4 linked regions of the Notamacropus eugenii genome follow. The protein of the gene in region 1 purifies or fractionates together with the protein of each later gene. This does not show direct contact. Links are inferred from orthologs where the notes say so. Each region holds a gene or a part of one and is shown in the gene's direction. Other genes may lie near its edges. The genes, in order: SLC30A5, SLC30A6, CSGALNACT2 and METTL9.

The links.
Region 2: the proteins of SLC30A5 (region 1) and SLC30A6 purify together in Homo sapiens (co-immunoprecipitation; 5 studies listed by BioGRID and IntAct, with this or other methods). This does not show direct contact. The link is inferred for Notamacropus eugenii from reciprocal best matches to the Homo sapiens genes SLC30A5 and SLC30A6.
Region 3: the proteins of SLC30A5 (region 1) and CSGALNACT2 purify together in Homo sapiens (co-immunoprecipitation; 3 studies listed by BioGRID and IntAct, counting the BioPlex papers as one, with this or other methods). This does not show direct contact. The link is inferred for Notamacropus eugenii from reciprocal best matches to the Homo sapiens genes SLC30A5 and CSGALNACT2.
Region 4: the proteins of SLC30A5 (region 1) and METTL9 purify together in Homo sapiens (co-immunoprecipitation; 3 studies listed by BioGRID and IntAct, with this or other methods). This does not show direct contact. The link is inferred for Notamacropus eugenii from reciprocal best matches to the Homo sapiens genes SLC30A5 and METTL9.

What each region holds. Positions count from the first base shown.
Region 1 is NC_092875.1:474,546,267-474,553,721, reverse strand, and holds the start of SLC30A5 (proton-coupled zinc antiporter SLC30A5), read left to right. Parts: upstream 1-4,442; 5' UTR 4,443-4,720; coding exon 4,721-4,794; intron 4,795-7,455. UniProt on the Homo sapiens protein: Together with SLC30A6 forms a functional proton-coupled zinc ion antiporter mediating zinc entry into the lumen of organelles along the secretory pathway.
Region 2 is NC_092872.1:534,968,434-534,975,915, forward strand, and holds the start of SLC30A6 (zinc transporter 6), read left to right. Parts: upstream 1-4,466; 5' UTR 4,467-4,537; coding exon 4,538-4,540; intron 4,541-5,966; exon of another isoform or gene 5,967-6,092; intron 6,093-7,482. UniProt on the Homo sapiens protein: Has probably no intrinsic transporter activity but together with SLC30A5 forms a functional zinc ion:proton antiporter heterodimer, mediating zinc entry into the lumen of organelles along the secretory pathway.
Region 3 is NC_092872.1:228,383,662-228,391,209, reverse strand, and holds the start of CSGALNACT2 (chondroitin sulfate N-acetylgalactosaminyltransferase 2), read left to right. Parts: upstream 1-4,547; 5' UTR 4,548-4,736; intron 4,737-5,802; exon of another isoform or gene 5,803-5,821; intron 5,822-7,548. UniProt on the Homo sapiens protein: Transfers 1,4-N-acetylgalactosamine (GalNAc) from UDP-GalNAc to the non-reducing end of glucuronic acid (GlcUA). Required for addition of the first GalNAc to the core tetrasaccharide linker and for elongation of chondroitin chains.
Region 4 is NC_092874.1:396,485,708-396,493,726, reverse strand, and holds the start of METTL9 (protein-L-histidine N-pros-methyltransferase), read left to right. Parts: upstream 1-5,016; 5' UTR 5,017-5,853; coding exon 5,854-6,033; intron 6,034-6,267; exon of another isoform or gene 6,268-6,503; intron 6,504-7,230; exon of another isoform or gene 7,231-7,298; coding exon of another isoform or gene 7,299-7,331; intron 7,332-8,019. UniProt on the Homo sapiens protein: Protein-histidine N-methyltransferase that specifically catalyzes 1-methylhistidine (pros-methylhistidine) methylation of target proteins.

The sequences.
Region 1 (7,455 bases):
GGAGAAATGGAATGGGGCAAATTATCTCTCATAAAAGAGGCAAGAAAAAGATTTTTCAATGGAAGGGAAAAGGGGGAAGGTGAGAGGGAAAAAGTGAAGCTTACTCTCATCATATTTGGCTTAAGGAGGGAATAACAGGCACACTCAATTTGTTATGAAAATCTTTCTTACACTACAGGAAGGTGAGGGAGAAGGGGATAAGTGGGGTGTGGGGGATGATAGAAAGGAGGGCAAATGGGAGGAGGGGGGTAATTAGAAGTAAACACTTTTGGGGAGGGACAAGGTCAAAAGAGAGAATAGAATAAATGGGGGGCAGAATGGGATGGAGGGAAATATAGTCAGTCTTTCACAACATGACTTTTATGGAAGTCTTTTGCATAACTACACATGTATAACCTATATTGAATTGCTTGTCTTCTCAGTGAGGATGGGTGAGGAGGAAGGAAGGGAGAGAAGTTGGAATTCTTTAAAAACAAATGTTAAAAATTGTTTTTACATACAAGTGGGAAATAAGAAACATAGGTAATGGGGTATAGAAATCTATCTTGCCCTACAAGAAAATAGAGGAGATGGGGATAAGGGAAGGGAGGGGTGTAATAGAAGGGAAGGAAGACTTGGGGAAAGGGTAATCAGGGTGTCTTGGGTTAGGGGGAGGGGAGAGATGGGGAGAAAATTTGGAACTCAAAATCTTGTGGAAATGAATGCTGAACACTAAAAATAAATAAATATAAATTTAAAAAAATAAATTTTAAAAAAGTTAAAAGTATCTTCCCCTGTAGGGATGTAAGCAGTTTAACCTTACTCAATGCCTTTTGTTTTCTCTTTCCTATTTACCTTTTTATTCTTCCACTGAGCCTTGCATTTGAAGATCACATTTTCTGTTCAGCTCTGGTCTTTTCATCAGAAATGCTTCAAAGTCCCGTATAACATATAGTACCTAAATCCAGACCATAGGGACCTCCTTACAGGAGAATCCCTTTGGCTCTGTAGATATTTTTTTAATGTTAGAGAAAAATCCTTTATTTTATAGTTTTGCACCACTTAGATATGAGAGTATCTGAGTTTCAATCTTATCTGCATTCCAGCCACGCCAATATGTTTACATTGCCGGAACCCATCTATTAATTATTGCCTCCATGGTTTTTTTTAAATTTCCTTACCTGAACTGCTCTGCTGGGGTTTCGTTATGTGTTGTGGTGGAACTGTCTTAAAGAATTCAGAGTGAGACCACCTGAAATCCAACTACAGGCATTTATTGAGATTGACGCCTCTCATGAAGCAGGCTAAGTTCCCAGAGGAACCAGTAACTTCAGGGAAAGCAAGATGAATTTTAATAGGGTAAAAATGCAATTACACAACAGAAATTATGAATATTAAAAATTCAGGAGGGGTTTGTTAAGGGATTAGGTAATAGGGGAGAGATCCCAGCGACAGTGGAAGTATGCATGTGATTACCCACACTACATACAGAAAAATTCATTTGGGGGGGTATGTATATATGATAATGGTATTATAATAAGCCTCTCTATGTCATAAGTTCAATCTAGATCAGTTCTTTACTATTACTGCACAGGGGCCTACTTAGGGAAAGTCCCTTCTATTATTTTGGGGTCTACATCCTACTTAGGCATCCTGGTAGTGCTGCTTTCTAATTGGCTGAATACTGTGATCCTGTCTAAGGCTAGATGGATGTGGCTGTGGTTGAGTGCATGGACACACCTGCTATTTCTGTGGGAAATATGAGGCATGGGTCTGGGGGCAGTGGCTGGGACCCCATTACGTGGAGATGCCTGCTGTTTCTGTGGGAACTATGAGCTCATGGACACACCTGTCGTTCTAGCCAGCAGTGAGGCCTATATGAGGAAGTTAGGATGTTGAGCGGTGGGGAGAGTGGCTAGGTAGGGGCAGTGGGCCTTTTGTTCAGTGGGGCCTATAAGGAATACTGGGGCTGGGAGCAGCTTTATTAGGATTCCATCACTTCTATCTTTCTATGTACATAACTTCCTCCAAGATCCAGCTCGATTTTTCTCCTCCACAGAGGGGGGACAAGGAACGGAGGATAAGAAGTCACTGTACAAATGTGGAGCAGTAAGTTCACCATCCCAAGCTGGGGATAACAGAGAGGGGAGGCTCTGTTTAGTTGTGGCCTGGATTAGACAGCAAAGTGGTTGGAGTGCTGGACCTGGGATCTTCTCTCAAATACTAGCTGGGTGACTCTGGGCCAAGCCAATCTTGGAGTCAATCTCCATCAGCTTCAGTTTTCTCAAATGTAAACTGGGGATGGTCCCAGCACCCACTTCCCAGGGCTGTGATGAGGATCAAATGACATAAGAATCGTAAAGCACTTAGAACAGTGCTAGTATACTTTATAAATGTTTGCTATTACTGTTATAGAAATATTAGTTCTCATCATCATCATCATTATGGGAATGCTGTTATTATAGAAATGCTATCATCATTATTATCATGTTACAGAGATACGAGTTATTACTATTATTACCAACTTCATCATTGTCATATAAATACTAGAGATGTATGATTCTGCTCAGTTCTTCCACAGTCATCATCCATCTATCTATCATCCACCCATCATCCATCCATCCATCCATCCACCCACCATCCATCCATCCACCCATCATCCATCCATCCACTCACCATCCATCCATCCACCCACCATCCATCCATCCATCCACCCATCATCCATCCATCCATCCACCCACCATCCATCCATCCATCTACCCATCCATCCACCCACCATCCATCCATCCACCCACCCACCATCCATCCATCCACCCATCATCCATCCATCCACCCATCATCCATCCATCCATCCACCCACCATCCATCCATCCATCCACCCATCATCCATCCATCCATCCACCCACCATCCATCCATCCATCCACCCATCATCCATCCATCCACTCACCATCCATCCATCCACCCACCATCCATCCATCCATCCACCCATCATCCATCCATCCATTTACCATCCATCCATCCACCCACCATCCATCCATCCATCCACCCATCATCCATCCATCCACCCATCCATCCACCCACCATCCATCTATCTACCCACCCATCCATCCATCCACCCACCCATCCATCCATCCATCCATCCACCCATCATCCATCCACCCACCCACCCATCCATCCACCCACCCACCATCCATCCACCCACCCATCCATCTATCCACCCACCATCCATCCATCTACCCATCTATCCACCCATCATCCATCCACCCATCATCCATCCATCCACCCACCATCCATCCATCCATCCACCCATCATCCATCCATCCACTCACCATCCATCCATCCACCCACCATCCATCCACCATCCACCCATCATCCATCCACCCATCATCCATCCACCCACCCATCATCCATCCACCCACCATCCATCCATCTCCCCATCTATCCACCCATCATCGATCCACCCACATCCATTCATCCATCCATCCATCCAGCATCCATCTACCCACCACCCATCCACCCATCATCCATCCATCCATCCATCCATCCACCCATCATCCATCCACCCACCCATCCATTCATCCACCCATCATCCATCCACCCATCATCCATCCACCCACCCATCATCCATCCACCCACCCATCCATTCATCCACCCATCATCCATCCACCCACCATCCATCCATCCACCCATCATCCATCCACCCACCCACCATCCATCCACCCATCATCCATCCACCCACCATCCATCCATCTACCCATCTATCCACCCATCATCGATCCACCCACATCCATTCATCCATCCATCCATCCAGCATCCATCTACCCACCACCCATCCACCCATCATCCATCCATCCATCCATCCATCCATCCATCCACCCATCATCCATCCACCCACCCATCCATTCATCCACCCATCATCCATCCACCCATCCACCATCCATCCATCTATCATCCATCCATCCATCCACCCATCATCCATCCACTCACCATCCATCCATCTACCCATCCATCCACCATTCATCCATCATCCATCCATCCATCCGTCCACCCACCATCCATCCATTCACCCATCATCCATTCACCATCCACCCATCATCCATCCACCCATCATCCATCCATCCACCCATCATCCATCCATCCACCCACCATCCATCCATCCACCCACCATCCATCCATCCACCATCCATCCATCCACCATCCATTCATTCACCCATCATCCATCCATCCACCCACCATCCATTCATTCATCCATCCATCCACCCATCATCCATCCATCTCTCCAGGTCCTTAGCTCACAGTGACCCCTTGCCAGAGTAGAAAGGGAAAGTAGGGAGGCCGGGCGGGGCCGGTAACTCTGAGTCTTTCCCAAGGAGGGGGAGGGGAAGTTAGGGAAGGTCGGGGAAGGAGGAAGGGCGGGTAGGGAGCAGCTAGTCCTCGGCGCAGGCGCACTGGGAGGAGGCCGCCGGCCCGGCCGGATGACGTGGCCTGGTAACGTTCACGCCGCCGCCACCTCGAGGTAACCCGGCGCCTCCGGAGCCGGAGCGGGAGCGGAAGCCCCAGCCCGAGCCGCGGCTCGCGGCCTAGTGAGGCCGGCCTCCGAAGGCGCGCAGGGAGGGCCTGCGAGGCCGCGAACTGCCATGGGCGAGTGAAGGGCCGGCCCGGCGGCGGCGGCGGCGGGAGATGAGGCCTGGCCGCGGCGGGGCCCGCGACAGCGGCGGCGGCCCCTGAGACCCGCGCGGGATGGAGGAGAAATACGGCAGCCACGCGCTCGCCGGCGGCGGGAGCCTCGGGCCAGTGGACGTGCCCAGCGCCCGGTAAGTGCCGCCTGGGCGTCCCCGGGAGGGGAACCCCCGCCCCGTCCGCGCCCTGCCTCGGCGGCCCGGGCTGTAAAACGCTCGGACCCGGCTGGGGCCCCGGGTTCCGCTGTCGCCACGCCCAGATTTACCGTATTTATTTTATTACACTCCTTCACCTTCTGCCCCGTCCCCGGTGGTTGGTCGTGACTGGGGACGCCCGTCCTCCCCCGATCCCTTGCGGGGCGAAGCGCCACCGGTGACCCTGCGGGGGCAGAGGCCAATAACTTCCGGGGCCTCCCTCCGTGAACAGTGCCCTCAGGGGCCTTCTGGCCACCCTCCCCCGGCCGTGGGCCCTTCCCGTTAACCCGAGTGCTGCCCGTCCTGGGGGCACAGCCGGTGCTGGGAGGTGTGTGTGCACGTGCGTGCCCCGGGGCTACGTGGACTTCCGATTAATTATTCCCTAATTGGTCTGGAAGGGATGGCTGCCCTCCTTCAGAGGAGGGGCCTCCCCCGGGCCCGGGAGCCGGCCCGGCCTGGCCTGCCGTCCGTTATGTGCCTGTGGTCTGGTGCGGCTCGCCCCTGACAGCATCCCCGCGGCCTGCAGGCGGGCCTGTGTTCTCCAGGGCCGGCGCGGCCGGGGCCGGCACGGAGATCCTGAGGGGGTGTGTCCGAGGAGCCCCTGCCTCGTGTCGGACCCTCCGGGGGATAAGTTGGGGCGTGAAGGTGGCCGTAGCAGTTCTGACAGTACATCTGTTAAATCATCTCTTGTTGACGTTTTAATTCGGTAAGGACGGGGATGCTGAGGGCGAGGGCATCTGCCAAGAGACCACTGGGGCCTGGGGAGAGGCTGAAAAGCTGGAGAGCAGAGGAGAGGGCCCTGGGTGTCTAGTAGGGCTGACGTCAGAGGGCCGCTGTTACATTGTATCGGTAATTGTGTGGGCGTCCACAAGGACTGGGCAGAGGGGGCGGGATTTCGTGATTAGAAGGTGGCTCGGAGCCTTAGGGTTGTGTTTGGCAGGGTGACCCTGGGAGGACATGGGGGCGTTAAGAATGAAAGCAGTTTTTACCAAGAAATGTAGCAAAGAAGAGGAAGATGAGGTGGGACATGGGAGGGAGATGGGAAGTGGGACAGCGAGGGATGTGCAGCTCCCCTCCAGCGCCCCAGCAGTGTTCCCCTCAGAAATCCTGCTGTGAAACCTCAAGCAAAGCCTGGTCTCTTAAGGTCTGTCTACATTCTCACTTCATACGTAGTTGGAAGAATTCCCAGCCTTCCCACTGTGCTTGGGACTGTGGGAGTCAGGCAAAGGGTTTCTGATATCTGGGGGAATGGATTTGGAGGAGGGTGGAACAGCTCATCTTTGTCATCACATTGTAGATGGTTTAGAGAGGATCATTGATGTGCCTTTCTCCTCTTTCTGCTGTTTCTTTTTTTTTTTTTTTAACATTTATTTATTTTGGGTTTTCAACATTCATTTCCACAAAATTTTGAGTTCCAGATTTTCTCCCCATCTCTCCCCTCCCCCCCATAACCCTTGCATTCTGGTTACCCCTTCCCTCCATAGGCCCTCCCTTCAGTCACACCCCTCCCTTCTCTTATCCCCATCTTCTCTCTTTTCTTCTAGGGCAAGATAGATTTCTACACCTCATTACCTGTATTTCTTATTTCCCAGTTGTATGCAAAAACAATTCTCAACATTTGTTCCTAAAACTTTGAGTTCCAACTTCTCTTCCTTTCTCCCTCCCCACCCATCCCCACTGAGAAGGCAAGCAGTTCAATATAGGCGATATATGTGTTGTTTTGCAAAAGACTTCCATAATATTCATGTTGTGTAAGACTGACTATATTTCCCCCTATCTTATCCTGCCCCCATTTATTCTATTCTCTTTTGACCTTGTCCCTCCTCAAAAGTGTTTACTTCTAATTACCCCCCTCCTCCCATTTGTCCTCCTTTCTATCATCCCCCTCACCCCACTTGTCCCCTTCTCCCCTACTTTCCTGAAGATTTTCATACTATATTTAGTGAGTGTGTTATTCCCTCCTTAAGCCAAACAGGATGAGAGTAAGCTTCACTTTTTCCTTCTCACCTCCCCCCTTTTCTCCTCCATTGAAAAAACTTTTTCTTGCCTCTTTTATGAGTGATAATTTGCCCCATTCCATTTCTCCCTTTTTCCTCCCAATACATTCCTCTCTCACCTCTTTATTTTTTTAGATATCATCCCTTCTTATTCAACTCACACTGTGGTGTGTGTGTGTGTGTGTGTGTGTGCGCGCACGCACGCACAATCCCTCCAACTACCCAAATACTGAGAAAAGTCTCAGGAGTTACAAATATTATCTTTCCATGCAGGAATGTAAATGGTTCCCTTCTCCTGGGTGAAGGAGCCCTCTCACTGACCTTTGAAACTGTCTGTGGTGTTTGTGGATTGAGCAATCTGGGACTGCAGCTGCTGCTAATCACACCCTGAAGCCTGTTTTGGGTCCTGTCTCTGCCGCCTGGGCTTTGCTCCGTGCCCAGTGCAGCAGACCTTTCCTCTTCGCCTTCCAGGCTGTCTTGGACTGGAAATCTCTTTTACTTGTCATTTTGTGGTTTCTGCTGCTCTACAGAGTCATTTTTTACAGGTATTTTATGGACTGTGTGAGGGAGCTTCTATAGGTCTGTCTTTCTACTCTGCCATCTT
Region 2 (7,482 bases), on another chromosome or scaffold:
AGAGCACAGTACTTTGCAATTAATATACACTTAATTTTTTCTCCCATTCATTCATTCTTAACTATATCTTAATAAAAAACCTGAAAGCATGGAATAGTCATTGTTGATATTTTTGACTAGACTTAGAAAACATTTAAAGTATGAGAGGTAATACCATCTTCAAATTATTTTTTGCCTTGTCAATGGTTTCTCATCCATTGTGCTTTTATAGCAATGTAATAAAAATGGAAATTTTTCATGGATCTTTTTTTTATTCCAAAATAAGCATGATTTTATGTTTACATCTTCTTTATATAGTCTTTGGGGGAAATAAAAGCAAGATCCTGAAATAAAGACAATAGGGAATTTGAATCCATCTCTTTCCACTGAAACTGTAATTAGTAATAACTGACTGGACTCTTAGACTGATGCCTTCTTTGAATATTAGTGTATTTTTCCTTGACAGTATTCAAAACCACTGAAATTATGACTGCCCTAAACATCTGGGTGTCTTAAGGCTTAGTCCATTTGCAGATCAGGAGAGGCTTTTTAGCTATAATGCGACACTATCCTCTCCTGGCCAAAGAATAATGTATATTCAGGCTGGTCTCCAATTCAAATTTATTGGCCTGGATCATAAAAGAACAACATTCTTTACCTTTAAGGAGCTTATGCTATGGAGATGGTGATGATGGCAGAATTAAGTGAATACAACATGTTCAGAAGTAAATACAAAGTAACTTTTTCAGATAGAACAGTTATTTATTTACTCAGTAATTTCGAGAGGAAGAGAGTACTAGTGGTGAAGGGGTTAAGGAGGCAAGGCAGACAGTGCACAATGAGGAAAAGGTCTTGTGTTTTAAAGGGAGCTAGGGATTCTTTGAAACAGGTTTGTTTTTTTTTTTTTTTAAAAGGTAGTGAATTCCTGATACATAGGACTATTTGTGCCAAGGCACAGGGGCTAGAGAGGGCAATGTCTCATCTTCCCAACAGCCAGCAAGTTGGTGTACCTAGAGTGGAAAATGTGTAAAGGGGAGTAATGTGAAATAAGACTGGAAGGATAGATGGAAGCAGCTGAGAAGGGTTTTAAGCACCAGGCTAAGGATTTTGTATTTGATCCTGGAAGCAATAAGAAACCATTGAAGATTTTTAAGTAGGAGTGTGGAGGATAGATTAGAGAAGAGGAAGTCCTGAAAGCAGAAAGAAAATTTTGGATGCCATTGCTGTGGTAAATGAGAGGTGATGGAGCTCTCAACTGGGTTAGAGTTTTTTGTGGATGGCCAAAGTAGGGCAAAAATAAGAGATACTGTGAAGGGAAAATCAGAAAGATTTGGCAACTGAACGTGAGGGTTGCACGAATGTAAAAAGCTAGGGATAACATTGTGTTGCAAAACTAGATGACTGAAACAATTGCAGTGCCCATGAAAGAAACAGGGAAATTTGAAGAAGAGATGTGCTTAGTGATTGATATGAGTTCTGTTTAGTTTGTGAAGCCTATGAAATATCTGGGTGGAGATGTTCTAGCAGGCTGTTGGAATACAAGAGATGAGGGCTAGAAATAAATAGTAACTGGAGAAACAAAGTCCCTTCACCTTCACTAGAATTCTCAAGAGGCTCACATTCTAATAATGGGTGAAATAAAACATATAAGAGGGTCTTGCAAGGCCAATGGAAAGGTCGAGTGGTCCACAGGGTACAACAGTAAGGCGGAGAGAGGGCAAGGTCTGGTGGTCCTGGCTTTAACAAAAAGTAAATAAACAAATAAACCTTTAATTATTGTAAAGCCTGATAAAGTTGTATTTATTTATTCAACAAATATTTCTTAAAACATCTCCAGTTTGCTAGGAGCTGACAGACAAAACATTAAGGGATATTCTCTGACCTCAAGGAGTTTTTGTGTTAGTAGATAACAACACAGGCAAAAAAAATAGCTATGCACCTTAAGTATCTACTTTACACAGACTATGTGCCAGGTGCTGGGATTACATAGGCAAAAACGAAATTAGTCCCCACTAAGAGGTACTAACATTCTCTCTCACCACAAATACAAAGATAAATAGAAAATATATACAAGCCATTTGGCAAGGAAGAAGGGGAAGTAATTTGTAGCAGTGGGAGAAACTATGAACTTCTTAATCTCTATTTAAGGAGGAGGCACAGGAAAGACATTTCCTGCCCTGATGTACTCATTCTGGATTTTTTTTTACTTTTCCACTATGCCCTGCCTACAGGGTACCTTCCCCATCTCCAAGCCTACCCCCTTTTTCCTTCTTTTATCTGTTTTCTTCCCCTATTAGATTGTAAACTCCTTGAGAGCAGGGCCATTTTTTTTCATATTTGTCTCTCTAGGGCTTAGCACAATGCGTGGTTCACACAGTAGGTGTTTAATAAATGTTTACTATCTAGAAAGGCCTGAGTAGGTACGGTCACTTGAACTGAGCCTTCAGTAGATCTAAGGACTCTAAAAGGAAGCAGTCCTTGCCCTCAAGGAGCTTATAATATAAAAGAAGATAGATCATACAAAAAGAGGCAGGAAAGCCAGGATTTGGGGGTGGGAGGGAATACCAGGAGATACCTAGCATGGGGGGCATCTTGTTCCATGGAGTTGAAATCAGGCAAGGTAGCAGATACAAAGGTTTGAGTCAGAATTGTGGTTGTGAGTGAAAACAACATATATGAGAGATGATGTGAAGGTAAAAGCAAGCTTTAACAGTGAACAGAGAAGAATAAGTGTAGATGCAGCTGTTACTGGAAAAAGTGGACAGGGAGGCTGCGTCCTTGGCGGGGAGCCAGGTTTCAGGTAAAACAACATCCTGGGGCAGGTAGGTGGCACAGTAGAGACAGTGCCAGACCTGGAGTCAGGAAGACTCGTCTTCCTGAATTAAATTCTGGCCCCAAATATTTACTAGCTGTGTGCCCCTGGGCAAGTCACTTAACCCTGCTTGTCTCATCTGTCAAATGGGCTGAAGAAGGACATGGCAAACCACTCCAGTATCTTTGCTAAGAAAACCCCCATGGAGTCATGAAGTCAGACATGACTGAAAAATGACTGAACTGAAGGTTTCAATAATAGCTAGTAGGTGCAAGAAGTGGGAGAGGAAAAGATTTAGGATGAAGGAAGTTTAATGCCTACAAAACAGACATTCCAGAGAGCACAGGGGAAGTGCAGGGTGAGGTTAGGATGAAACTTTGGTGTAAAAGGGTTAAGGGAAATGGAAATAAGGAATTGGGTGGTAGGGGATGTGGAGTTCAGTTTGGATATCGATCTACAGGAATTCCAAGTTACCAGGATGTGAAGGGTATGATCAGGTGTGAGAATGTTCATCGTTGTGGAGAGTACCACTCCTCTACCCTCAAATGACAGGTGCAAGGAGAGATGGGAGGCCTGAAGCTGAGGGGAATGTTGTTCTTTGAATTGGGGGTTTTCCATATCCCAGTTAGGGGATTGGACTGGCAGTAAGAAGAAGATGCCCTGTGCTGGTAAAGATGGAAGTGGTTGCTTAGAACTTTTCTCACAGTTGGGGAGGGAGATGCAGAATTCCCTAGGTGGGGGAATCACAGACCTTATAATAAGTCACTTGACATTACATGTGTTCGTCCTTCGTTGCCGAAGAAGACCATGCCATCAGAGAAATGACGTGACTTGCACTTGACTTTTATTTTTCAGTGAGGTAGGGCTGTGCAGGTCACCATCCTCACTTCTCCTCCAGAGCCATCTGAATTCAGTGACCAGATATTCATCAGGATGACTGGAGATGACCCAGGATGAGGCACTTGAGGTTAAGTGACTTGCCCAAGGTCACACAGCTAGTGAGTGTCAAGTGTGCGAGGTGAGATTTGAACTCAGGTCCTCCTGACTCCTGCACTGGTGCTCTATCCACTGCACCACCCAGCTACCCAGCCTGAGATTATACATCACAGAGCAGGTGTCATACCTACAGAGTGGAGAGAGTTTCCTCCCTTGGAAACGCAATGCCAACCAAAAAGCCTCAGACACACACAGGCATTCCCCCCAAAAGCCTTCAGACAAGCCTACCATAAGCTACTTCTCCCGAAAGCCTTCGGACGAGGACCCAGAGACCCCCCCCCTCCCCCCACACACAAAGCTTTCAGAGAAGTCCACCCCAAGACACGTGTACAGACATCTCCAAAAGCCTTCGGGAAAGTCTACCACGAACGGGAATCCCGCTTTGCCACTGAATGGTTTCTGCAACCGCGGCAATGAGCCTGCCTGAAAGTCACTTCCAGGCTAAGAGCGCGAGGGAAGTGTCCGCTCCTCACAGCAGCCTGCGGGCACGCTCGGCCCCCTGGGTAATCAGGAGTATGAGAAAGGAGCTCCCTCTCTTCGGCCTAAAGAGCTTCCCAAACAACTTCACCACAACGACCCTCTCACCCTGGTAGCTCCCTACGACATCTAGCCTCTCCTCACTTCCGGATTCCTCTACCTCGGCCAATCACCCGCGTTTGTTCCGCCCCTTCCTCTCGGAGGGAGGCGGGGGGGCGCTGCCCGCCAGCGGCAGAACGACTTCCGGCGGCGGGAGCTGCGGGGCCCCTTAACATGGTGAGTGGGCCGTGGGCCGCGGGCCGGGGCCCGGGACGTGGGGTGTCTGGCGCTCGCTCGGAACGGCCGCTGTCCGGTACAGCGGCCCCGGCGAGGCGGGGCGGGGGCATTTCGGCTGTCTTCAGTCGTCTGTCTCTCCGGAAGCGAGGCGGCAGCCGCTTCCTGGAAGGTCCCTCCCCCCGCGCCCAGCTTTCTCTTGCCGTCTCTCCGGGCCTGCTGCGTCCCGGGCTGCTCTGGGATAGGCTTCCGTGGCCCCTCCCTTCACCGGCCCGGGCGCAGCTGCGGTCGCCCGCCGGGCTGGAGTCGACGTCCCGCGCCTGTGGCTGCCGAGTGCCCTGGTCTGCCCACAGGTGCCTGGGGCTCCACTCTGGTTTTCTCTTAATATAAAAATAACTAGCCCAAGAGCCGCCCCGGAGGGCATGAGCGGTCCGGGACATTGGCGCAAAGTTCTCAGAATAAGCAGTGCGGCTAACGAGGAGAGCGTAGACAAGCGTTTACGCGTGCCCGGCTTAAGTGCTCCACATCACAGAGGAATACCAGCGGAAACTTAGGATTCATCTCTCCGTATCCAGTGAATTGCCAGAGATGACTAGGGAGGAAGAGCCACGAGGCTTTTACAAAGTGCCTGCCAAGTCCCGGGTCCTGGGGTGCTGTGGATGCAAAGAAAGGCCAAAAGCGAGGACTCCCTGCCCCCAAGCTCACCTGCTGAGCACCGCACACAGATAGAACATGTTTGTTCATAGAATGCGTGTGCCTGTTTGCCATATATGTTATATGATGGAGAGACAGCACACGCAAGTGCTATTCTCTTTTCGGTTGTGTCCGACTCTTCCTGACCCCGTTTAGGGTTTTCTTGGCAAAGATACTAGAACGATTTACCAATTCCTTCTCCAGTCCGTATTACACATGAGGAAACTGAAGCAAACAGGGCTGTGACTTGCCCAGGGTCACACGGTTACTCAGGGTCTGAGGTGGGATTTTCATTCAGGAGAGGAGTCTTCCAGATTTCAGGCCTGGCACTGTATTCGCCTTACTACCTAGCTGCCCATTTACACACACACTTGTTTGTGCGTTGTCTACACCACTAGAAGGTGAGCTTGAGAGCAGGGGCTTTTTTGTTTTAGCAGATAGAGGAATAGACAGACATAGGTAATAAATTGAAGGTGAAGGCCCAAGAGCAGGGACTGTTTGTTTTTGCCAGTATTTCAGTCTTTTCTTTTGTGCCCAACTCTTTGTAACCCTATTTGGAGTTTTCTTGGCAACGATACTGAAGTTTTTTGCCATTACCTTCTCTAGATCATTTTACCAATGAGGAAACTAAGGTTCACACAGCGAGCCAGACTTGAACTCAGAAAGATAACTTCATGACTCCCAGGGCTGGCTCTCTATCCACTTAGCTGCCCATTTTGGCAATATATAGATAGTTAACTGGAGATAATCAGAGAAAAGGCTCAAGGGTGTTTGAGCTGAGTCTTGAAGAAATTCAGGACAATGAACTTGGAATAAGGAAGAACTGTATTCACATCTATCTTCAGTCTCTGGTTGTGACTAGGTGAGTCATTTTCAGTGCCTCCTTTTTCCCACTTGTGAATGAAAGGCTGAATCTAATGGCTTCTAAGGTCCCTTCCAATCCTAAATCTGTATAATGCTAAAAAGTTTCTAGGTACCCTCTGGGAGAACTGGAACCCAGAATGACAAATACATGGAAGCTTGCTCCCTTGAAGATTACGTCTGCTTGAGTTTTCTTCCCCCTTCTTTGTATCCCCAGAGTTTAACATGGTATCTGGCACGTGATAGGTACTCAACAAATGCTAGGTGATTGAATAACTGATTTCTACTTTTACATACTTGTTTTGCCCAGTAAAACTTAAGGGCGAGAACTGTTTGGTTTTGTCCTTGTATCCCTTTTGTATTTAGCACAGTACCTAGCACATAGGTATTCAGTAAATATTTGTGAAATTGAACTGAATTAATTGAATGGAGGAGAGTCTCTCAGCTTTGTTTCAAGATTTCTAATCTTTTGTCAGCTCCATGCCTCCGCTCCATGTTGCATTTGGGCAACTCTTTAATTGGAGTGTATCAGTAAAGTGGCCGATTGTGGTAGCCAAGTTAGAATTTTAAATTTAATACCCTTTGACCCAGCAATACCACTACTAGGTCTGTATTCCAAAGAAATCCAGAAAAATGAGAAATGACCTATTTGTACAAAAAATATGTATAGCAGCTCTTTTTGTAGTGGCAAAGAATTGGACATTGAGGGGATGCCCATCAATTGGAGAATAGTTGAACAAGTTGTCATATGTGGATGTAATGGAATACTATTGCGCTATAAGAAATGATGAACAGGCAGATTTCAGAAAAAGCTAGAAAGGCTTACATGAACTGATGCTGAGTGAAATGAGCAGAACCAGGAGAACATTGTACACAACAATAGCAACATTGTACAGTGATTGGCTATGATAGACCTATCTCTTCTCAGCAATACGATGATCCATGTTGGAATCCTTGTTGGATGTTGGAAAATGCTAACTACATCCAGAGAAAGAACTATGAAGTCTGAACGCAGATTGAAACATACTACTTTCACTTTTTTTCTTTCTCATGGTTTTTCTCTTTTGTTCTTTCACAACATGACTAATGTGGAAATATGTTTAACATGATTGTACATGTATAAACTATATTGGATTGCATGTCCTCTTGGGGAGGGGAGTAGGGGAGGGAGGGTAGAAAAAATTTGGAACTCAAAATTTTACAGAAATTGAAAACTACATTTACATGTAATTGGAAAAGAAATTTAAAAAAAAAAGAAACGAGCAGTCTGTTTTCAGAAAAACCTGGAAAGACTTAAACTGTTGCAAAGTGAAGTGAGCAGAACCAGGAGAAAATTGTTCACAGTAACACCAGTGCTGTACAGTGATAAATTGTAAATGACTTAGCTATTC
Region 3 (7,548 bases), on another chromosome or scaffold:
TTTGGACAAGATTTCCCAGTTTTTAACTCATCCTGGCTATGTATTTTTACAACATTGTTGCTTTTGTAGAAATGACCCTGCAGAAAGAAGAGTTATAATTGTTCTGCTCCAAAGGAAAAAAAAAACATTTCTTGATGCAATATAATGACTTAAAAAGTGTACTTGTGTAGCTGGTCAGTTTCTCTAAGATATTTATTTTTCTTTCTATACCATGAGTTCACGGGATTGTAAAGTTTAGAGTGGGGAAGTTTCCTTAAAGATGATCTAGTCATAGAGTCATTTTAGGAATAAGTAAACTGAGACCCAAACAGCCCTCACCACCATGTAAAAGATGAAGAAAATGAAGTGTGGGGAAGTAGTAAGTAGCTGCTACATAAATAGTATGAAGTTAACCCAGTAACTGCTATACCACTTGATTTGTATATGTTCTTCTTTCCCAGATAGACATTTTAAGAAAATAGCATGGTGTCTCGTTAAGTTGTTATATGTTGAATATGTATATATTAACACAGACATATATATAGCATATGTATGTTTTAATCATGGGAAAAGCTAAAAAGACAGAAAATGATTAAGTAGCGAGTTTTATGACTGAGCTAAGACCATTGCTAGTCTAAAAGCAAAGAAAAGTAACCTTGGTGCTCTGATTTCATGTCATGTTACTTAAGTAAAAAGGCATTTGGCATGTTACATTTTGTGGTAAGAAAGGAGGGGAGTGAAAGGAAAAAATGGGTAATAATAAGAGCAAAGAAAATTCAGGCTAGTGCAGAAGCTAATTGGTTAAAAGAAAAAATAAGAAACTTCAAAACAGAAGGGAAATAAAACAATATTTTCATAAGACTGGAATTCTATATAGTATATTAAGAAGTTAGATTTTTAAAATCCTTAAAAATTAAAGCAGTCTAACTTCTTAAATTTTATTCAATGGAAAGATCTTATCCCATTTGACTTCTACAAGATGAAAATTAGTCTCACTGTTCTTATTAAATTATAATTAACCAATGACCCAAGAAGCAAAAAAGGGCAGTTAGTCTAACAATTTCACTTGGATGAATGAGAGAGTCATTAGAGTAAAGTTTGGATCTGTCCTTCAATTTTGTGTACTGATTACTTGCCCTCAGGTCAGATCATGGTTTACTGATCTACGAATCATTAAAAATTGTTCATTGTTGGCAAGCACAGCCTAGAAGAGAATTTTATTAATAGAAACTGGAAGAAGAATTAGATTTGTCAACAGTGGCTGAGTGTAGCCAACCCCATGACTTTGTTTCTACTGTTAGTGGATTTGCTTATGGAAATGTTATATGACTGACTGATGTGTTTCTTTTATGTAAAATGCAACTTAAATTCATATACATGTATATACACATATGTATATATAAACACATATACACATATATTAGTAAATATTGTGCTCTTTTGTTTCAACTTCCTAAAGAAACTAACTGCTCTAAATTTTAGCTATGGTTTCCCCCAGCCCCTTCTCCCTACTCTTCCCCATTTACCAAATCTTGCCAAGGAAACAGGTTTCAACGTTGCCATGAATTCTGTTGATAGATTAGTTCTTTCAGACAATGCTATACTTCCATGAGGTCACCATGCCCCTGAGTTTGTTCCTCAGCTTTACAGATTCAGAAAACATATTTTATCAGTTCAGCAGAAGGTGATCAAACTTTAGACAGTTAAATCATGTCAAGTAAAGTTGTGAGAGATCAACTATTAAACCAGAATGCCCATTTATTCATGCAGAAAAGACACACACACAGACACACACACAGACATAGACACACAGACACAGACACACACTCACAGACACACACACACACACACACACACACACACACACACACACCCAGGTTAGGATCTTGCTAAGCAGCTCTCCATGTTGACTGATTAAGCCCCACTAAGGAGACCAAATCTTAGATTAGAAGGTTACTTGGAGAACACAGAATTAGGGCAAAGGGAATTGACTCTTACTAAGGAATATTTCCATCAAGCTAAGAAGGGAACCTGATGAATTACAAGAAAGACCAAACATAACAGTTATTAAGGCCCTACTATATATGTCATACAATCCCTGCCCTTAAGGGGAAGAAATGGTCTTTGTCCTCAAGGGATTTACAGGAAGATAGGAACATTATAGCTTTAATACTCAATATCACCAAAGTGCATTAGAGAGTAACAAAAAAAGTAATATGTGCAATTTTAGAGGAATTATTTTTTGCAGGTTTCAGTAGTTTTCCTGGAAAAGGTGACATTTGACTTGAGTTTTAAAATTTTGGGTAGGATTTTCACAGTAATTTCATAGGGGAGATGGGCATTATAATGACAGGGAACAGAGTGAATAACAGAAAGGAACACTGTTCCAGGGGCACAGAGTAGTCCAGCTTGGCTGGAGTGTAGAGTACCTCGAGGGTAATATCTAAAGCTGAAAAGGTAAGGTAGTCCATTGAATTCTAAGCAGAAGAACTTGATGGGCACTAAATGTGCATTCCCATTCTCCTTTTTGTAGCCTCTATGAGAAATACAATCTTTCTGCTTGGACTGGTCATTGCACAGTCTCTCTTCTTAATTTGTTTTGCATTTATACTGGAAGATAATTTTTCAATGATTAGAGTTTGGCTATTTCCTAATGACATGTAGGGAAACCTCCATAAATTTACTAGGAAACATTCTCTAAATCACTGCAGGAAGGGTACATATAGTGAATAATGAATGATGTGTGGATTCCTATTGGCTTTTCTCACAACAAAGGTATTACTTCTTTAATTCGTGCCTTGTTCATGGGTTTCATCTTACTTTAAGACCTTTTAAGATCTTTTGCCCAGTGACTAGTGTCCCAAGAAAAATTTTAGTACCCCATTCAAAATCCTACAACTGATAGAAACTTTAAAAAAAAATCAGAAAAGTGATATAAGATGAATACCATTCACTTCAAACTTAGAACCATTAAGACATTTTCAGGGTTGATCATTTATACTTTTTACTTTCTGATGGACTCAGCCCTTTTTAAGATGATCAGAAGTCCACTGATTTTCAGGACTAGGTAGTAAGAAACCTTTTACTCTTGGAAGGATCTCTCATAGCAGATGATCATAGGTTTAGAGCTGGAAGAATCCTTGAAGGTATCAAGTCCAAGACCTTCATTTCTTTAGAGGGCCCTAAAAGTCAATAGATTATTCCAGGACAACACAATTAGTGTCTAAAGTGAGATTTGAACCTACGTGTTCCTAATAACAAGTCTTGCGCTATATACATTAAAAACCAGTCTAATTTTCAGAGACTAAAGGAATAGTTAGGTGGTGTAATGGATAGAGAACTGACTTGGAGTTGTGAGGATCTGAGTTCAAACGTGACCTCAGACAGCTTGACACACCCTGTAAATTATTATATCCTGGTCCAGTCCAGGATGTCTATGAGAACTGCCTTTAGTCTAGCATGTTAAACCCTGCTTCTTAGGAGAGGGGGCTTCCATACGCATACATTATTTTCCTCACTCTGAAATTAAGCTCCTTGAGGATAAAAAAATCAAAACAAAAAACAAAACCCTCACTCTGTCCTGACTCTCCTGTCTCTAAGCCTGCTCTGTTTGGCTCCAGCCACCCACAGGTTAGAGGCTGAATTCGGTCCAGTTGTTAGGAACTTGAGCTAGACCCCCAAGAACTGGCACGATTTAGATCAAGTCTTCTGAGGAAACAACTCGTCAAATCCTGCCTGGTAAAATTACAGGACCTACAAGGGAGGTAGATAGACTATGTAGAAAAGAGCCCAAAGGGCAACTGATTAGATAGATAGAAATATGTTTCAGTTTATATATGTATACATCCATACATATACATCCATATATGTGTGTGTGCATATACCACCATGAGGACATAAACTTAGCAAACAAATGTCCAACTTTTCCCTTCTCACCACCTGTCTTTATCGCTCTCGGTGAAGTTGGGGATGGTGAATGGGCTGCCGAGTGTTGGGACGTGAAGTGCAAGCCTTCTCTCTCTCTCTCTCTCTCTCTCTCTCTCTCTCTCTCTCTCTCTTTTCTCCCACTCCCGCTTTGCCTCGCCCTTCCCCTGTCTGTAATTCCTTGCTCTTTCTCCTTCCTCTCCTTTTTTTCTTTCTCACTCCTTTTCTCCCCCCTCTCCTTCTGTTTCACCTACTTTCTCCCTCCTCCCTTCTCTCTCCCTCTTTTCGGTCACTTTCATCTCTCTCCCTTTCCTGCCCCGCTCTCTCTTTTTCCTCTCTCTCCCCTTCCTCCTTCCTTCTCTCTCCTTCATCTGTCTTTTTCTTCCTTTCTCCCTCCTCCCTCCCCACTTTCTCGGGCCCCCGCTCCTCCCCTGCCCTCCCCTCACTGGGCGGTTGACAGCAGGGGGCGGGAGAGGAGTGTGGGCGCGGCGGGGCTCCGGGCCTTGTTCTGGAGCCGGGCTCCCCGGGCGCCGGCGTAGGCGTGGGGGAGGGGGCAGCGCGCGCAGGACGCCGGGCCCGGGCGGTGGCGGCGCGGGCGGGCGCGCGGCGGCCTCATTTCCTCGCGCACACAGGAAGTGGCCGTTATTCCGGGAGGCGAGGGGGCCGAGGCTGAGGGTGGCGCGAGGAGCTAGGGTGGGGGGGAGGAGGCGGAGGGAGTGGCGCCTCCGGCCCCGCGGCGGGGGCTCTGCAGCAGGGCTCCCCGCGCCCGCCCGCAGGCTCCGCCGCTCTGCCTCGGGGCATGTCCTCGGCCTCCTCCCGCTAGGCTGGCTGTGGTGAGTACCGCGCTCTGCTTCGGCGGGCTGACAGCCCGGCTCCCGGCTCCGGCCCCGGCTCCCGGCTCCGGCTCCCGGCTCCCGGCTCCGGCTCCGGCTCCCGGCTCCGGCTCCCGGCTCCGGCTCCCGGCTCCGGCTCCCGGCTGTCTCCCGGCCCCGGCTCCGGCTCTGCGCGCACGGACTGACTGCGGGCTGGTGCCGGGAGCTCGGCTGCCCCGAACCATTGAAGCCCAGGCTAGGGGCGTGCGTGCCGGGCACCGCTTCTGCCCTCGCCTCGAGACTATTTTATTTTACTTTTGCAGTAGAAAAACATTCCTTGTCTATTTCTCTCTCTCCCCCGTTAGAAGCCCCAGTGCCCACCCTCCTCCGGATGATTTCTGTTGCGGAGTCATTTCGAAAGAGCCTGGGCTCCTGGGTGCAGGGCTGGGCTGGGAGTCTGGAGAGCAGCGGGGCTGCCAGCGGAGGAGTGGTTTTTGGAGTGTTACTGTTTCTTTCCTATCGCTAGGCTTTCCTCCCCACACTCTCCCCTTGCTACACTTTGCAAGCTATTTGGTGATAAACTGTTACTACCATGAACAACATTTTGCTATTCGTTGAATACAATGTTGCATTCTCTTCTAAACAACTCAGAAACTACCTGAACAGTTAGTTAAAAATAGCTTATTTTAGAGTTTGGAGAGTTGCTCCCCACTTTTTTTTTTATTTCAAGAGTTGAAGACACTGGTTGAAGTTAGCAGGGGGAGAGGAGAGAAGACTTTTGTGTGTGTAGATCCAGAACTAAGTCCTGCTCCAAAGCCTTAGCCCTTCTTATCGTGGAGGAGACCTTGGTTCTCCAAAGCGAGGAGCCTCCTTCTGATTGGTGTAGAGGAGACCCTGGTTTCTTGGGAGACGGACTGGCTAATTGGTCCTCCTACAGCTGGTATGCTGCCCAGAGTGTAGCTCCTGGTTGATGGAATGTTTGTCTTTGGAGGATCATGCTAGCGATGTCGCTTAGCAGTTCATCACCAGGTTTGCTGCAGGATGGCCTCAGCGAATATTGAAGACCTTTCAGTAAGTCTTTTGAGAGATTGAAGTGATGGAGGCAGGTAAGTGGCATGGTAGATTGAGCTCTTATCTGGGCCATTCACTTCACACCTCTCTGCCAGAGTTTTCTTTTTCTTTAAAATGGGGATAATCCATTCAAGTTGCCAAATCTTGTATATTCTTATTACAAGTCGTCTCTGGTTTTTTTCACTTCCTCACTAGGTTGTTACTGTGGTAAACAAATAGCTTTAAAAACCTTAAATTGCTGGTGCAAATGTTATTTTGTTGTTGTGGTTGTTAGAACTGCCTGTCTAGAAAATCACAGGTCCTTCTTGTGAAGGAAGCTGTTTAAATTTAGGTGATGATAGAGTATCTTGATTAAGCATCTGTTAGTATTTTAAAGTTTGATTTCATATTGATTATTACAGACCGAATTTAAAAGAATTGTGCAATGTACATTTTAACTTTCTGAGAACTTACGGTGGCTTTGTCTTACTTCTTGTGTACCAAGATGAATTCCATTTTCAGTCATGTTTTCCTTGTAGCGCATCATTAAAGATAATAGCTCAGAATGTGAAGAGGAAAGTTAATTTTTCTACACGAAGTAAAATGTGAGGGTGTATATGATAGTCTGTTAATCTCAGTCATTTATTTTGTGCTTTGTTTTTAGTTCTTAATTAAAATAGTGGATTGTGACTTGAAGGTCCTTCTGAGGGTTGCTTTCCATTATTTATTTGTGGCTTAGAGAATGTTAATAATGATGAATAAGAATGGTCTCATTTCCTAATCCAGTCCTAGCTCAAAGTTGTGTAAAACTGGGATCTCCAAACTTTGGATTGCATACTTCTGTTAGTTAAAAAAGAATTGAGTTTGCAACCCCAGCGTATGTGCATGTGTGTATAATATTTTTGTGCTTGAGTCATTTTCCAGTCTCGTCGGACTCTTTGTGAACCCATTTGGGATTTTCTTGGTAGAGATACTGGAGTGGTTTGTCATTTCCTTCTCCAGTTCATCGTACAGATGAGGAACTGGAGGCAAATAGGTTTAAGTGATTTGAACTCAGGAAGATGAGTCTTCTGATGTCAGGCCCAACACTCTATCCACTGTGCCCCCTAGCTGTCCCATACATTCACACAGACATATACACACATATACGTACATATATATGTACAGTACACACATACATGTGCGCATGTGTACACACAGACACATCTCACATACCTGTACTGCCATAACATACAGCTATTACTACACTGTTGCAATAATCAAATATGAGGTGATGAGGGCTTGAACTGATGTGATGGCTGTATGTAGGGAGGAAGAGATGTGCCAGTAGAATGACAAGATTTGACAACTGAGTGGATAGTTGGGGTTAGAGAGAGTGAGGAGTTGAAGAGAATTCTTATATTGCAAACCTGAATGAAAAAAAGGATGTTGGTGTCCTTGATAGAAATAGGAAAGTTTGGAAGAAGATTCGAGTTGTGGGGAAAGAGAACTACTGAAGCCTGAGATGTAGATCACAACCTGTCTGTCCATGCCTGTTTGTCCTATGAGACTCTGGCTTTCACACCTAAATCGTAAAGGGGGAAGGACAGGGCTCCTACCAGCCAGTGCCTAGAACTCAGAGCCTGTCCTTGAAGCAGAGAATCCATCACAGCTGCTGTATAGTGATCTGGAGAAAAGAGAGTGGGTGATGGTTTTCCAGTGGTACTTGTGGAACTGGTGTTGTAGGTGCCTGGATAGTGATTAGGTTATAGCTGTCCTGAGGGGCAGAATTTCTGCTTAAAAG
Region 4 (8,019 bases), on another chromosome or scaffold:
GTAGGATACTTCTTGTGCTATTTTTACAGTTTGTATAATATTAGAATTGTTTTTTGAATGTTTGATAGAATTCATTTGTAAATCTATATGATCCACAGTTTTTTTCCCCCTTCAGAGTTGATTTATGGCTTGATAATTTTTTTTTTGAGATTGAAATCCTTAAATCTCTATTTCTTGTTCTATTAATTTGGTTATATGTATTACAACGTAACATTACATTATTATTTTTACCCCAGCTAAAGCAAATTTTTTAACACTTTAAACAAGTTTTGAGCTCCAAATTCTATTTCTCTCTCCTTTCTTCCCTTTCTTTGAGATAAGGTTATTTTATATTTTTTATAAGTATTCATCTATTTCATTTTGTCAGCTTTACTGACATATAGTTGGACAAAATGGTTTCTAATAATATCCTTCATTTCTTGGGAATTGTTCTTTTTCATTTTGATACTAATAATTTAGTTTTCCTTTTTTTTTACATCAAATTTGCTGATGGTTTAGCTATTTTGTTGTTCTCTCCCCCCAAGCAAAAAAAAGATCTTAATTTTATTTATTCATTTAGTGATTTTTTTCCTTTTGTTTTGTTAATCTATTCCTTAAACACCATTTTGGTGTTTAATTTTAAGAAATTTGTTAGTTTTCTAGAGCTTTTAGTTGGATACTCAAGTCATTTATTTGTTCTTTTTTCAGGAGGCAAAGCGATCAGGGTATTTTGTCCACTGACAGCTAATAAGCGTCTAAGGCTAAATATGAACTCAGGTCCTCTTGACTCCAGGACTAATGCTCTATCCACTGCTCCACCTGGAAGCCCCTCTTTTCTGTTGAAGATAGTGCTAAGAGATATACATTTTCCTATAAGGATTGCATTCCAAAATCATTATCTTTTATTGAACTATCTATTGTTTCTGTTTTGTTTTTTGACCTACCTATAATTTAGGATTGTTTCATCTCCAGTTGGTTTTTAATACTCTAATGACCTTTTATTGAATTTAGTTTTTATTACAATATGTAATCCTTAATATTATTAAAGGACACATTTAATATTATTGCTTTTCTGCATTGTAGTTAGGTTTATCTTTTAATACACATTTGATTTTTGTTAAGGTGTCATGAACAGTTAAGAAAATATTTGAACTTTTTTTCTGTTCTCATTCAATAATCACCAGATATTTATTATATCTAACTTTTCTAAAATTCTATTCTAACATATTTTTATTTTTTAGATTTGTTTAGCTCTAGGGATGGGCATATTGAGGATCTCACTATTATAATTTTATTAGCTTTTCCTTTATGTATTTAGATGTTACATCATTTAGTGTCTATATTTTAAGTGTTGAATTCCAGCAAAAAGTTATTTTCTATTTTTGCTTTGTCATAATTGTCACACCTTTTTTTCAGTTTAGTTTCAGCATAATAGATTTTGCTTCAGCCTCTTAATTCTGTGTGAATTCTTATGCTTCAAGTATATCTCTTGTAAACAAGTGTTATTTCTGCTTTTTAAATCATTATGTTCTTCTCTTCAAATTTGCAATTGAATTCATCCCACAATTCACAATTATGATAGTTGTTTATTTCCCTCCATTCTTATTCTCTTAAACTTTTTCTTTTCTTTGTTCCCTATCCCTTCATTATAGATTTTTACCCTTTGTTTCTTTCCTTTTCACTCTCTCGTCATTATTCCCTCTCCAAGTTTAGATTTGTTTTGCAAGATTAATCAGTCCTTTAACCTATGCTCCCTCTTATGTCCCAACTTTCCTTTCTCCTGTTCTCTCTCATATCTATGCTGAGTTGAATGTATTTCTATACCAAACCCTTTATGTGGATGTTTGTTTGTGTTGTGTGTGTTCTGCTCTTTTTAACCAGTTCTAATGAAAGTGAAGTTCAGACGGCACCATTTTCCCTACACCTCTTCCACATTGTATAAACTTTTACCTGAGCATTTCAATTATATGATAAAAAATTTCTTCAAGCTTGTTCCCTTTTCTCCCCCTGTTGCATCCTTTCCTACTTTTCTTTATTTTTTCAAAATTGTCAAAATATAATGAAAACTACCTCTAGGCCCTCTCATTTGACTCCATCATCCTTGATGACACCAAGGTCCTGAAAGGAATTTTATATTATACTCTCCCCCATTAGAATATAAAAAGATAAAATCCCTTCCAATTATCCATTTGTGTTTACTTTTTTATGTTTCTCTTGACTCCTGTATTCATATTTCAAAGTTCCTACTATGCTCTGGTCTTTTCTGCAGGAATTCTTGGAAGATTTCTATTTCTTTGAAGATCCATTTTCTTCCCTTGTAGCTTTATATTCAGTTTTTCTTGGTAAGTTATCCTTGGTTTTTAGGCCTATATCTTTTGCCTTTTGGAATGTTGCATTCCATGTTCTTCACTCCTTTACAATCATAGCTCCTAAATCTTATGTGATCTTCTGAATGTCGTTCTTGAATTCCTTCTGGCTGTTTTCAACACTTTTTTCTTTCACTTGAAAGTACTGGGTTTGGACAATGACATTACTGGGAACTTTCATTTGGGAGTTTCATCTTCCAAATGATTAGTGATCATTTTGCTTTATTGATCTGTTTGGCCAGCTTTCTTTTATGATTTCTTGAAATATATCATATTTTTGGTCATAGCTTTCAGGTAGCCCACTGATTTACAAATTATCTTTCCTTGATTGGTTTTCCAACTCAATTGTTTTTGAAATGAGACAACTCAATTTTTTTCCTATTTTTTCAATCTTTTCAATACTGCTTATTATCTCCCAGTCATTAACTTCTATTTGGTGCTTTCTAATTTTTAGGGGAGTCTGTTATTTGAGTAGGGTTTTATGCCTCTCATGTTAAATTGTAGTTGTCTTTCAAAATCTTCCATAGCTTTCATTTCTTTTCCACTTTTTTCTTTATCGATTTAATTTGATTTATAACATTTTAAAACTCTTGAATCATTTCTTCTAGGAATTCTAATTGATTTTGTGGGCAAGTTGTGTTTTTCTTTGAGACTTTGGTTATAGGTGTTTTTGAGTTATTTTTCTGGGTTTGTATCTTAGGCACTTCAGGAAACATAATTATTCTTTCCTTTTTTTCTTCGTGGGCTTACTTGTTTTTCATATTGATGTGCTTGGTACTTTTTTTGAGGTAGCCCAGTCCTAGATTAACCTTATTAAGGAAAGTCCTTTCTTTTACCTCAGAGGTCTTTCTTTTGCCTCCAAGGCTTTCCTTGGCCTTTGACTGAACTCTCCTTTCCCTCAAGGGATAATACTAAGTTAGGATCCTTCCTTCAGTCTGCCTTTTCTTTTGTCCCAGAAACTGAGATATCACCTTATCTTTGGGGAGAGGGGTTTTTCTTTAATCTTTAATCATCCCCAGCTCCAAGAATAAGGAGAATTGAGGGCTGGGGCTTTCCTCCAAATAATGGCTGATTCTTCCACAATGTGCTATTCCCCTTTATTTTTTCCAAGCAACCAGCACTGAGACTTTTTTTTCTTTCCATAGATGTGCTGAAGCCCTTCACTTCATAGTGTAGTGGACCCCCTCTCTAGGCGATCCAATTCCGTCAAGTCCTATAATTGTAAGAGAGAGCTAAGCTTCACTACTTCCTTTTCCTCCAACATCTTGACCTTCTATTACATTTACTTTTAGCTAAGATTAAATGTATTTTTAACTAAAACTAAATATTAATTTTTAGGGCAGTTAGGTGTCCCAACGGATAGAGCACCTGGCCTGAAGTCAGGAAGATTCATCTTTCTGAGTTCAAATCTGGCATTTACTAGCTGTGTACAGATGTTCAGTAAGTTACTTAAGCCCTATTTGCCTGAGTTTCTCACCTGCCAAATGGGAAGACACTCGAAAAGGAAATGGCAAACCACTCTAATATCTTTGCCAGGAAAACTCCATGGACAAGTCCAAGAGGTCACTTGAACAATAACAAAATATCAAATAGGGTCTTTAAAAACCCTGGAAAGGAATTCTTATTAAAGAAAAATTTCAGACTTTACTAAAATTGGGATACCTTGCTCACAGCAAGATAATGGAATCAAGGGGCAAAATGAGACATGTTTTCGGACATGGCCAATGCAAGAACATTTTGCCTGTATTTTTCACAAGGACTTAGTTTTTCTTTTTCTTCTTTTTTCTCCAATAGAGGAGGTAACATGGAAGGAAAGGAAAATAAATTTTTATTTGAAACAATAGTTTTTAAAAGGTTTTAGTAGTATTGTAGAGATACTCTATTGTGGAGAGAACTTTTTACTAGTGATTTAATGCTAGTGCCTTCTAAAATGATCTTCTATATAATACCTTTCACCCCATCTGACTACCAGCTCCTTAAGGTCAGGGACTTTTAAAAGTGCTTTTGTTTTGCCTTGGCTTAGCACAGTGACTAACACACTTTCAGTTCAGTCGTTTCTGACTCTTCATGACCCACACTGCAGTGGTTTGCCATTTCCTACTCTAGCTCATTTTACAGATGGGGAAACTGAGGCAAGCAGATTTAAGGGTTGCACGGCTACTGTCTGAGGCTAAATCTGAACTCAGTAAGATAAGACCTCCTGACTCCAGACTCGATGTTCGATCTGCTGGTTTACCTACCTTCCCAACTGACTTATAACAGGTGGGTTGACGACCTTAAAGAGAGAAACACCTTATGATTCTTTGGGGAAATAACAACAATTAAAGAAGGATGTGGACCCTTTCACGCACACAAGACGGTCTGTAGGTTCAAGTGACAAGCGGCTTCCTGTCTTTACCCTCAAGTGTCCCGGCGGGTTCCAACACCCAGCCTGAGGTTCCCCAGTTTGGAGGGCACCCTCAGGCTTTAAGCGGGGAGAAGCCATCGTTCGCAAGCCCTAGGCAGCCTCCTTGAAACGCGGTGGAAGAGACGGGTGAGGGCGGTCGCCCCTTGTGCCAACCCTAGACCCCAGTGCCAACCTCAGGGAGCTCTGCGAGGGGAGAGGGTGAAAGCTTTGGTTTGTCTGGCACCTGCCTGCGAAGACCAAGGAGCAAAGAGTGGAAGCAGGCGACTACCCCTAGGACAGATGAACGAGAAAAGGGCAAGTTGGACAGCGCTGTCCGCGGGACAGACCCCCGCCTAAAGCCCCGGCCGGCATGGGCCGCGCAGGCGGAAGTGGGGGCGGTCCGCCCCGGCCCCTGCCCCGGTTTCTGAGGGGCAGAGGAAGAAGTGAAAAGGGCTTGAGTACTACCGTGCCTTCGGGAGCCGACAGCGCGCCTAACGCCCGCTAGGGCCCACTGTGCCGGGCCGTGCGCCTGCCTTTCCTTCCTCCGCAGCCACTACACAATGGGCCCGAAAGGGTTTAGCGTGGGGCTAAGAGGGGCCCCGCTGGGCAAGCAAGCGCGCTCCCGCGGCCTCCGTGCGCGAGCCCGCGCGAGCTGATTGGTTGAGGAGGCGCTTCCGGTGCGCGCACTGCGTCCGCGTCCGGCTTCGAGCCGGAGACCAAACGAATCCAGTAACCACGACTGGGGAGCCACGGTGTGCCCCTAGAAACGCGCTCCGGGCGGAAACCGCCACTGCCGGAAACGGCGTTCCGCCGAAAGAAGGAAGAGGGGCAGGGGTGTGGGGGAGGACTGAGGGGAGGGGAGAAGAAGGGGAGGGAGAGGCGGGCTGGGGTGTTCGCCGGCCGCTTCTCCCCACCCCCCGCCGGAGCCTCGGAGGGGCTGGATGGGTAAGTTGGGCGCGATGGAGAGAGTGGCCGCGGCGGGCGGCAGCGGCGGCGGGGGCAGCGACAGCGACGGCGGCAGCGGCAGCAGCAGCAGCAGCGGCGGCGGCGCCTCCTTCTCGCCTCCTTCCCGGCGGGGCTGAGCCGCGGAGCTACCCCGACCCCGCCGCCCCGCGGCCCCCCATGAGACTGTTCCTGGGCTGGCTGGGCTTCACCCTGGTCTCGCTGTGGCTGGCGAGGAGGATGTGGACGGGCACCGGCCGGTCCCTGCGGAGTCCCCTCGCCCGCTCCCTCTACATGAACATGATGAGCGGCGGCCCCGGAGAGCCAGGCGCCGCGGGCGGCCGGAAGGACAACCACCAGGTGGGGAGGGGCGCCCCGCGACCCCCGGGCGGCTGTCGGGGGGGGTGGTGCGTGTGCCCGGGCGGGAACCGGGGGAGGGGACCGGGGGAGGGAGGGGAGGGGGCGCAGCCATTGTGAGGGCCGGGGGTGGGGGCACCCGGTCAAGTTCAACCCCGCCCCCCGCCGCCGGACCGAGGAAGGGGCGGGCCCTGCCCCCGCCGCCGCTCTCCCCCTCCCCAGAAAGTTTGACGAGCCGACTCCAGACTTCCCACGGGATACCGGCCGCCTTCCCCCGCCCTTCCTCGGAGCGGTTATCCTCCCATCCCCCCAAAACTTGGACCCCTGGCAGCACCCTCCTGTGCACACACACTGCTCCCCTTCCCAAAATTCGGATCGGCCCCCCCATTTCCCTCCTCGCGCACACGCAGACACACACCCTCTCTGTCCCCCCCTAACTCGGACGTCCCCCACTTGCGGCGCCCTCCGTACACGTAGGTACACACAGACCCCTCCCCCTCCCCAAACTCTTAATGCCCGGACCCAAACCCTCAGTACTAGCCCCAGGCCCCCTGCTGGGAGGGGACCTTTTGTTAAGGAAGAAAGTGGGTGTTTGGCTGGCTGGAGACGTTGGCCTGCGCAGAAGAAAAATGGCCTTTTCTTCCCTTCTGCCACCCCCTCTCCTCTCGTCCTTATCTCGGCTTGGCCCCCCTCCGCCCTGCCCCACTCCCACTCAGCCCAGCACTGCCCGCGCTGCCGTCCCTTCCCCCCTCTGTGGTTCCGAGGCTGGAAGGAGGGAGTAGGTGGTATGTTTACTGTGAGGGCTTCGCCCCCCGTTCACTTTGGGGACCCAGGTATTCCCAAGCGCGGCCTCCCCTCTCAGGTTGTAAGATTGGAACTAAGGGCCGGGGCGCTGGAGCCTCCCCTGTCCAGGCCGCTGTCCTTGTCGTATTCCCGTAGTGTGGTTTGGGGTGTGATTCCTGAGGGGCTGAAGACTGCGGGGTTTCAAGAAACTTCAGCAGTCCAGCGTGAGCCACAGAACGCAGCACTTACTCTGGGAACGCTTTCGGACCGTGTGTGTTCTGAAATACGTGTAAAGGGCTTGAGACAATGCAGTCTCCTCTGGAAAAATGAGAACTCGTTTAAACTTCAGTATACGTGTTCGCCAGAGGCATTGTGAGAGGGAGAAAGGCGAAGTTATGGAAATGAGGCCTCTTAAAAGAACTCTCAAGTGCGTTTTTCAGATTTGTGTTCAGTATGACCTCTTACTGGCTGACACCGACTGGTGAATGGAACTGAAGTCTTTAAGATTTGCCTATATGGTGGGGAGAAGTTAACATTGCACCTATTTTAAAAAGAGCCCTTAGAACCCTTCCAGAGATATTATTGATAAGTATTAGGTAGACATCTTTTTGTCTGTTAAAAAAAGTTGCCAGTGTAATAAGACATCGTTGTTTTATGGTGTTGTAATTTACTATCTTGTCCTTCCTTGTCATATCAGGGAAGGAGTGTAAATAATTTTTATTAAAGGCATTTGTACCCGGGTACAATTTTATTTTCCTCACTGAAACACATAAAAGAATTTTGTGAAAAAGTAGATTGTGGTCCCTGACTGATGAAGCAGCTCTCCAGAGAAAGATGTGCATCTTTGACTTCTAATATTTGATTTATCAAGTATTTGTAATGATTATTATTTTTTTAAAGATGAATTCTCTTTTTAAGTCCTGGTTATCCCATTTTCATTGTTAGGTGATTACCATAGGCAGGAAAAGTTAGGATAGGTACTTCTTAAATTGCAAAACTATAATTATTGGTAGTGATTGACCTTTTTTTCTTAAAAAGGATGGTCTACTGACTACAGTAAAACTGTTAAGTACTATATGGATGACTGCTCTGGAAGCATGAATAAGGTAGAGAATTATGAAATAGAAATGACAGACAAGTGATAGTGCCTTAGCACTAGGTAGTTGTGGATGAATCTCTTAGGCTTGGCATGTTTATAATAACACT